Linked DNA regions of Macaca fascicularis. The protein of the gene in region 1 interacts with the protein of each later gene in a biochemical or structural test. Links are inferred from orthologs where the notes say so. Each region holds a gene or a part of one and is shown in the gene's direction. Other genes may lie near its edges.

Region 1 (4,307 bases):
CTATCCGAGCTGCCTGCATCTCCGAGTCTCTCCGGGCGTCGCTGGACGGAGCGCTGACCCAGCTCTGGCGTCCTGTACGCCCAAGTCCTGGACCTCCTAGCCCTGACTCATCGTCCAGAGTGCACCGGGCGGCGGCGGTTGCGGGCCCCGGGGCATGCTGGGAGCTGTAGTTCCCTGGAGCCCGGCCCTGCGTTCCGCTGACCTAGGGGGATCTCCAAGCGTCTCTCGTCTCCCCCAAACTCCTTAATCCCGCCCGTCCGAACTAGAGTCTAGTCCTCCGACGGGGTGATGGGATAGGATGGGACAGAAGAGGAAGGGGCTTAAGTCACTGCAGCCAGAGGGATGGAGGTGGACTGAAGGGAGGGCTTCTCCGGTGGGGTTAGAAGAGAGAAGTAGGGAAAGAGAAGTGTAAGGTAGATGGCAGAAATAGAGGCACCGAAAAACAGACTCTAAGGTTCCTGATGAAATCTGTCTCGGCCAACACAAAAGGGAGGGCACGGTGGGCGGGGGGTGGGGGCACCCAAGCTAGGGTGTGAGTGCCCTAAGTGTATTCTTCTGAGACGTAAACCATTTCACTAACTCTTGAAGCAGCTACAGTTTCCCAGTGGGAAGGCCCCGCCAGGTTCGTTGCGCTTCCCTTAATAAAGCCTCTGAGATCTTCCTGAACATTCCCTTCTGTCTCTGCCCTCTGTTACTTCCAGAGACCATGTGCCCAGGCAGATGGAATCCTCCCGGGCCTGAGAGGAACTGCAGGAATTCTCCTGCCTCTTACCTGTGAAACCCCAACTTCTCTAGCCCTAGGTCAGGAAGTTCCAAACAATTTCTACCCCTCTCTCTGCAATTCTCATTGGGGTGAGAGGAGGCCCTGGAGGAGAGAGAGCTGGGGTCAGCTTCTTTTTGAGCTGCTGGAGCCCTCTGTGAGGAGGCCCTCTTTGCTGGCTTCTTAGGAGAGTGTGGCTAGGTTCTGCCTGCCTATGGGGAGACGGGCCAGGGTGTGTGCAGCAAGATGGTGGCGGCGCTGGTGCCTTGGGACCTGGGGGAATGGGACAGCTGGTCGGTTCAGAGATGGCCTACTTTACTCACAGCTGGAATTTAGTGGGGAGAAGCAGCTCAACTCCAATCCTGGAGGATTAGGGAGATTAAAGTGAGAGAAGAGAGAGATGTCCCAGAGACCAAGAGGTGAAAAACAGGGGTCCTTGTGGAGGGGAGGTCTGGGATTGAAGTGGGGGGCTGGGGCTCAGGGATCCTTCTCCCTGAATCTTTCCATAGGGCTTGGGGTGAAGGGCACAGGCTGGGGAGATGAAGTGACAGTGTGTTCGTCTTCCTGTGTTGGCCTCTTCCCTGTCCCAATTCTCCTTGCATCGCACTAGCTCCCAGGTCAGCCCTCTGGCTCCTGGCACCCCCGCTGCTGCGGTGGGCACCCCCCCTCCTCACAGTGCTGCATAGCGACCTCTTCCAGGCCTTGCTGGGTGAGTAGCCCGTTTTCTGAGGGACCTGGGCCTCCAAGGGCTGTCCGTTACTGAACTTCGGGGGCTGTTTGGGAGCCTGGAAATCATTTGGTCCAAGCTGGAGCCCCAAGCAGGGTCATGCCTATGGTGTCCTCCATGAGTGTGGACCAGCCTTGGCTGAAAGGGCTCCTCCCTTGCCAGCCGGACAGCAGCGGTGATGACAGGGGTGATGTGTCTGGAGAGGCCTGGAATGGGGAGGTAACTCAGTTCTGTTCTGTGGCAGACATCCTGGACTATTATGAGGCTTCCCTCTCAGAGAGTCAGGTAAGGAGGTGGGGGCGAGCGCCTTACTTCCTGAGGGGCAGGCAGGGCTGGAGGGGTGAGGCAAATATTGCTAATATTATATGGAAACTTGGGGGCCCTGCAGACGAAAGACTGAGTCGGTGGCCCAGGGACTTGGGGCACCGAGAATGCACTCTCTGTGGTCCTGTACCCCCTCTCCCTTTCTTCCTCCTTTTCTTTGGCTGCCTCAATTTCAGGCACTAAAGAGTCTAAGGCTTTTTAGGTTTCCCCCTGAGAAACCTGAGGCAGAACTAGGCCCCCAGGGATTGCCTCCTGCAGCCCCTCCCTCATACCCGACCCCCTACCGCCTGTCGTGGCCTCCCTCCCGTATTCAAATAACCATGGGTGCTCCCAGCCCAACTATAGGTGCTTCCTTCTCTAAGAAATGAAATCCAGCCTCATCGTCTTTGCTGTCATCGCTGGTGGCTGGCCAGGTCTCCATGTTTGCCTCAGGGCCTCTGTGCTTCTGCTTCTATCTCCTTTCCCATTATCCGGGTTCCTGCCAGCACGGAAGGAGTTAACTCTGCCAAGGCACCCCCCCATTCTGGCTCCTAGCTCCCTCCCTCCCTCCCCCTGCTTCCTCTCTCCTCCTCTCTCCCCTTCCCTCTTCGGCTCCACGGCTCCCTCGGCCGCTGCCGTTTCCAACCCCCCCACCCCACTCCCCCGCCACGGCCCCTAGCCCCTGGCCGTTTGGCAAGATCCCCCCCTACCCCGGGGCTCCCCGAAATCCAGTTCCCCTCCCCCACCCCAGCTCATGCCCCAGCCCCCGAACTCCGGGGCTGCCAGCCCCCGGTGCCCCCGCCCCTCCTGAGAATCGGGGTGTGCTCCCCAAGCCCCCTCCCCTCCATTGGGGAGCCCCTTTTAGGGCCCCCTTCCCTCCCCTCCCACGCTCCCCTCCCCTTCCCTTCTCCAACCCCCTCCTTCCCCTCTCACCCCTCCCCCCATCCTGGCCCCCCCTGCAAAAGTGGGGTGCGGAGGGGGGAGGGGTGAGAACCCACGGAGGGGAGGAACGAAACTCCGATGAAGTCAGAGCCCCTTACCCGCCGCCGCGGCCAGGCCCCCCAACATGGACTGTCTCTGTATAGTGACAACCAAGGTAAGCATGATGGGGGGGCTATAAACTGGGGGGAGGGCATGAGTTTGTGGGGAGGGGTTAGTAGGCCTTATCTGGGACTGGCGTCCCTGGAGTGGCAGCATCAGAAGTAAGATGTATTTGGGGGTCTTAATTTAGTTTTGGGGTTCACATCTGAGAAAATGCTGGATTTGGCCACAGGTGCCCCCTGGAGTGATCCCTTTGTACCTGTAGGGAAATGGAAAATTTAGGATATTCCATGGTTTGGGGGGCCTGGCGGGTTTCGGGGTTCACCAGCGCTGTTTGAGGGAGACTTATTTAAGGAGAAGCCTGGCTCACAAGGAAGTCCTGCTGGTGTATGTGGGAAGGTGGGCTATGCTGGGGGGGTTCCTCTTTCCTCCCCAGGGAAAAGCTGGCTTCCAAGGGCCTTGTCCAGTTTTGGGGGGCTCCTGGCATGGGGGTAAAGGTTATTGGTTGTGAGTGCCTGACTGGTCTGGGGTGTTAGCTGGCAGGGAAGGGGTGGGCCTTCAGACTCTGGAACAAGCATCTCGTGGCTGCATTTAGGGATGCACTCTCAATTTGAGGGAACTGTTAATTTAGGGTTCAGTCATATAGAATGGAGGTAGTTAGAAGTTGTCAGAGGGCTGGGGCCCTGGCATGGGATTACCTGAGGGAATGGACCAGGTGAGGCAAGGATGTGGGGGTATTCCCATAGGAGGCAGAAGATTGCAGCAGCCGAGCTTGCCAGCCTCTGAGGAGGAGGATGAGAGGCTTAGGGAGAGAGGGGATTTGAGGAGGGGGACCGGGTGGGTGGTGCACAATTTGGGGGTGGCCCAAAGGCAGGGGCCCAATGTCCCCATCTCCTCCCACACTGTATCTAGCCCTGGTCAAGAAAGAGGGAGAAGAGCAGATGGGGGGACTGTTCCAGATACCCCTGACGCTTGGGATCAAGATGGGGGAGGACACCAGGATTTAAGGGTCCCTGAGGACTTATGACCGAGGGTACTGAGGTTACCGGGGTGAAAAGGTGTAGGAGGAGGGCAGGGCTGGCAGCGGTGGGGATCTGTGCAAGAGTGTCCCTCTGGTTGGAGCCTGGCAAAGGCAGGAGATCCTGGATGGAGCACAGGCGAGCTCCTGGTGGGATGCGGATACCTAGGCTCTGCTTGGAGACTCTGGGACTGGAGAGCTGGATGCCTGGTGTGTGGAGGGAGGCTTGGGCGGGTGGCAGGCAGCTGGGGGCTGGGGGGTGGGACAGGAAGTGGGGGCCGGGGGAGGCGGGGTCCGGGTGAGTCACAGGCTGGGGAGGGGGTTATATTTAGTGGGAACTGCAGCTTTTCATGGGAGGGAGCTGAGGACACACATGTTCCCTGCCACAAACTCACACATGTGTGTACACATGCATTGTGCACGTGTGAGGATGGTTGGAAGAGATTGGGGGCTGAGGA
Region 2 (3,566 bases), on another chromosome or scaffold:
GCCAGCAAGCCCTTTGTGAGGCGTGCAGTGTCATGCCTGCCACACTCGGGAAGTCACACAGTGTGAGAAGGGATGGAAAGGGTAATTACAAGGTTCTTCCTAGACCCCTGTTCATTCTCTCACACTAACCTCCCTCTGGTCTTTTTTTCCCTGCATCCACTTTACTTTAGTGGCATCCCACTCTTAATAGATAAGACTTAAAAATGAATGTAGGTGAATTTTTAAAACGTATTTGTTTATCTTTTTCATAAGGTATACCTTTTTTAAAAATAAGATACCCCTGAAGTCTGCCAAAGAAGCCTTTCACCACAGTACAAGAGGTCCAAGTGGTGGCCTTTCACCGTTGAAAATCCAACCCTTCAAATAAAATGTTAAAATAATTTTAAAAATAATTTTTGATATCCCAGCATTCCAGAAAAATAACCCAGCCTTTCCTAACTGGCACATCAGACGGAATCAGAAGGCTTAGCTGGTATAAGCCATTCCAGGGAGAAGTCAAGAAAAATAATTGTTGCATTTTTATTACTCAGTACCCAATATTGAGTATATAATGGGCTGACCTTTCTCTACTCAGTTTATAAGAACAGCATTCTCTAATGACTTGCACTGATTGAGAATGTTTACGAGGTTCTTATTGGTTAGGCATCAGTGTATTGTATCAACAGGTACCCTCCTGACAGTGGAGACAGGAGTTTAACTTACTGACTTGGCTCACTTACCTTTATGGCTGTTTGCTTTTCTGCCTCTGCTTTTGGAAATGGTCGAGAGTCAGAGTCAAGGAGTATTTTGCCCTGTCCTCTACGTGTTAGGAAGGGTGTTTCAGAGGCCCAGGATTCTTGCTATTAGCTGTAGTGGTGTTATGGAGGATAAGTTCTTTATCTCTCACTTTTGGAACCCCATCTTGAACGCCAGCTTGGAGTCCCAAAGGAAGCAATTGTTTTAAGTAAACTAGTTGCTGTGTGTCTTTTCTGTTGTGCTCAGCTTACAGTTATAGAGGACCTCAGGATTTCAATTCTTTTGTCCTCGAGCAGCATGAATATACAGGTAAAATATTTCCAAAGTGTCATGGTAAGTAACACGTGATTGCATCCATGCCTGTCTAGGTAATGTAGACCAAGCTAGGTTAGCCACACTTGGCAATGAATGAATTTCATAAATTTAATTCATATAATCCAAATTTTTCCCCCCAAACCAAAAGTTGATTCTGAACTTTGCTGCGTTGTTCATGGCCTTTGGTTTGGTGGTACTTGGCTATGCTAATGTGTATGATGTGACAAGTTGTCACCAGCTGCAAGCTTTATCCATCAGCCACTTAAGTTTCTGACCTGCTGTCTATCATATAGACTCTTAACAAGCTTACTGCTGAAATGCAGAGTTTGCTGGTCAGTGAACTGAAAGATGCAATGGCAAGCCATCTTCATTTGTCACCATGTGCTTGTTTCTGCTTAGTGCCTGCACCATAATGTCCTATGCTGTATTCCAGAGCCAACATGCCATCTCCCAGCAGTATCAAAGGTACTGCCAGCTTTCCGAGAGAGCCCCAGTGGGAGATTAATGCGGCAGGATCCAGTGGTTCATTTGTCTCCAAACAAACAAGGGCATGTAAGTTAACTGTAAACTTAAAAAAATATTAGATTCCTAGCAGTGTACCTTCCTTGCACTGTGAAAATGCTCTGCTGTTTTCTCTACATGGCCAAAGAGGAAATCATTCTGGCAAAGGGTGGTCGTTTGCTGCCATGGCCTTGCAGTTTCTGCTGCTATGGCCTTTCGATTGCTTTGAGATAAATTGTAATTCCTCATTGCTGTGCTTCTGCCACACCCACAGGTCTGGTCATCTGATTCAATCACTAACAATCCTGGAATGTTAGGAATGGAAATGTATTAGAAGTTGATTTTTTTTTGCTTACACAATTGCAAGCATGAGATGTGGTTAGAGTGTCAGTCCTGCTCCAGCCATGGGAGGACTCCAGCAGGACTGATGCTCCAACCATATCTTTGACTCTGCTGCAGTAAAGGAGGAATAGGAGACAGACAGCTTCCCCTGTGCCTCCTCTACCGCTTCTCTTATCTTTCATAGCCATACACATTTCATCCTTTTGCTATAGTAATACACACTTCCTTCTCACTTACAGTAAAATTGGGAATATGAGGTTATCATTCTCCAACCCCCCTCTTATTCTTTTTTTTCCTCACTCTTCTTCCCTGATACTGCTAATGGGATGGGATGCCCTCCCCATGCGGTTGATTTCCTTGGTGTGTCTGTTCACTGGAATGTGTATGTTTATATTCACGTCATTCTATAGAATGAGGAAATACTGTATTTCATGCTTACTAGTTCACTATGGAAGATGCCCAGAGAACTTTAAATGAGAGATGCATGTAAGTTTTGCTGTAGAAAAATGAATATTGAGCCAAAAAAAACAAGGGAGAGTGAGCATGCCCTGCACTTTGCTCTGAAGAAAAAGATTTGCTGAGGAAAATCTTTCTTTTTTTTTTTTTTTTTTTTTTTATTATGAGATGGAGTCTCGCTCTGTCGCCCAGGCTGGGGTGCGGTGGCGCGAACTCAGCTCACTGCATCCAGCCTACTGAGCAGAATCTTTCTATGAGGAAAATATTTACTGAGACAAGTTGTGACAATGTGATATTGTCACAATTCTACTTGTAAATGATAGGTTATCCCAACTGATCTATAAATTTCTCCTCATTAATAATTTTTATACTGATTACATGATAAAATAATATTTTGGACAGGTTGGGCTAGATAAAATATATTATTAAAATTAATTTCACATGTTTCTTTTCTACTTTTTAAAATTTGGCTACTAGAAAATTTAATATTACATGTATAGTTCCCATTATGTTTCTGTAGAAATGTATTATATACTTTACACTCTTGGTACATCTCAATTCAAACCAGCCATGTTAGAAGTACTCAGTAGCCACACATGACTAAGGGTCACCAGATTTCCCAGCACAGGTCTGGAGCTAAAGAAGTTCTGTCCTATTAAGAATAAATGAAGGTTTTATTACAGCACTTAGTAAGTTGTTATTGAGGAAAGCTAGAGTAACACCAATAAAGTAACTGGGATTGATTCTTTTTTCAAGGGGAAGAGATGTTTCACTTTGAGGTGAAACTGGTGGCTGGGTGCGGTGGCTTACCCCTGTAATCCTGGCACTTTGGGAGGCTGAGGCAGGTGGATCACTTGAGGTCAGGAGTTCGAGACCAGCCTGGCCAATATGATGAAACCGTCTCTACTAAAAATACAAGAAATTAGCCAGGTGTGGTGGCACACACCTGTAGTCCCAGCTCCTCTGGAGGCTGAAACAGGAGAATCGCTTGAACCCAGGAGGCAGAGGTTGCAGTGAGCTGAGATCATGCCACTGCACTCCAGCCTGGGCAACAGAGCAAGACTCTGTCAGAAAAAAAAAAGAAAGAAAGAAAGAAAGAAACTGGCATATCCTACTCCTGCCCCTCCCCTTAGCCAATGAAGAGCCTGCTCCTTCCTCCACCAAAAGACACACACACAAACACATGCACACACACAGTTCCTTCTCTGTTCTTTTCT

The links. The genes of interacting proteins can lie anywhere in the genome.
Region 2: the proteins of DLG4 (region 1) and SIPA1L1 form a complex in vitro, tested with the Homo sapiens proteins (2 studies listed by BioGRID and IntAct, with this or other methods). The link is inferred for Macaca fascicularis from reciprocal best matches to the Homo sapiens genes DLG4 and SIPA1L1.

Annotation. Positions count from the first base shown.
Region 1 is NC_088390.1:7,264,696-7,269,002, reverse strand, and holds the start of DLG4 (disks large homolog 4), read left to right. Parts: upstream 1-1,469; 5' UTR 1,470-1,586; coding exon 1,587-1,772; intron 1,773-2,365; exon of another isoform or gene 2,366-2,856; coding exon of another isoform or gene 2,857-2,886; intron 2,887-4,307. Other genes in the region: ACADVL (very long-chain specific acyl-CoA dehydrogenase, mitochondrial), read right to left, coding at 1-19. UniProt on the Homo sapiens protein: Postsynaptic scaffolding protein that plays a critical role in synaptogenesis and synaptic plasticity by providing a platform for the postsynaptic clustering of crucial synaptic proteins.
Region 2 is NC_088381.1:139,586,506-139,590,071, forward strand, and holds part of SIPA1L1 (signal-induced proliferation-associated 1-like protein 1), read left to right. Parts: intron 1-981; coding exon 982-1,044; intron 1,045-1,483; coding exon 1,484-1,602; intron 1,603-3,566.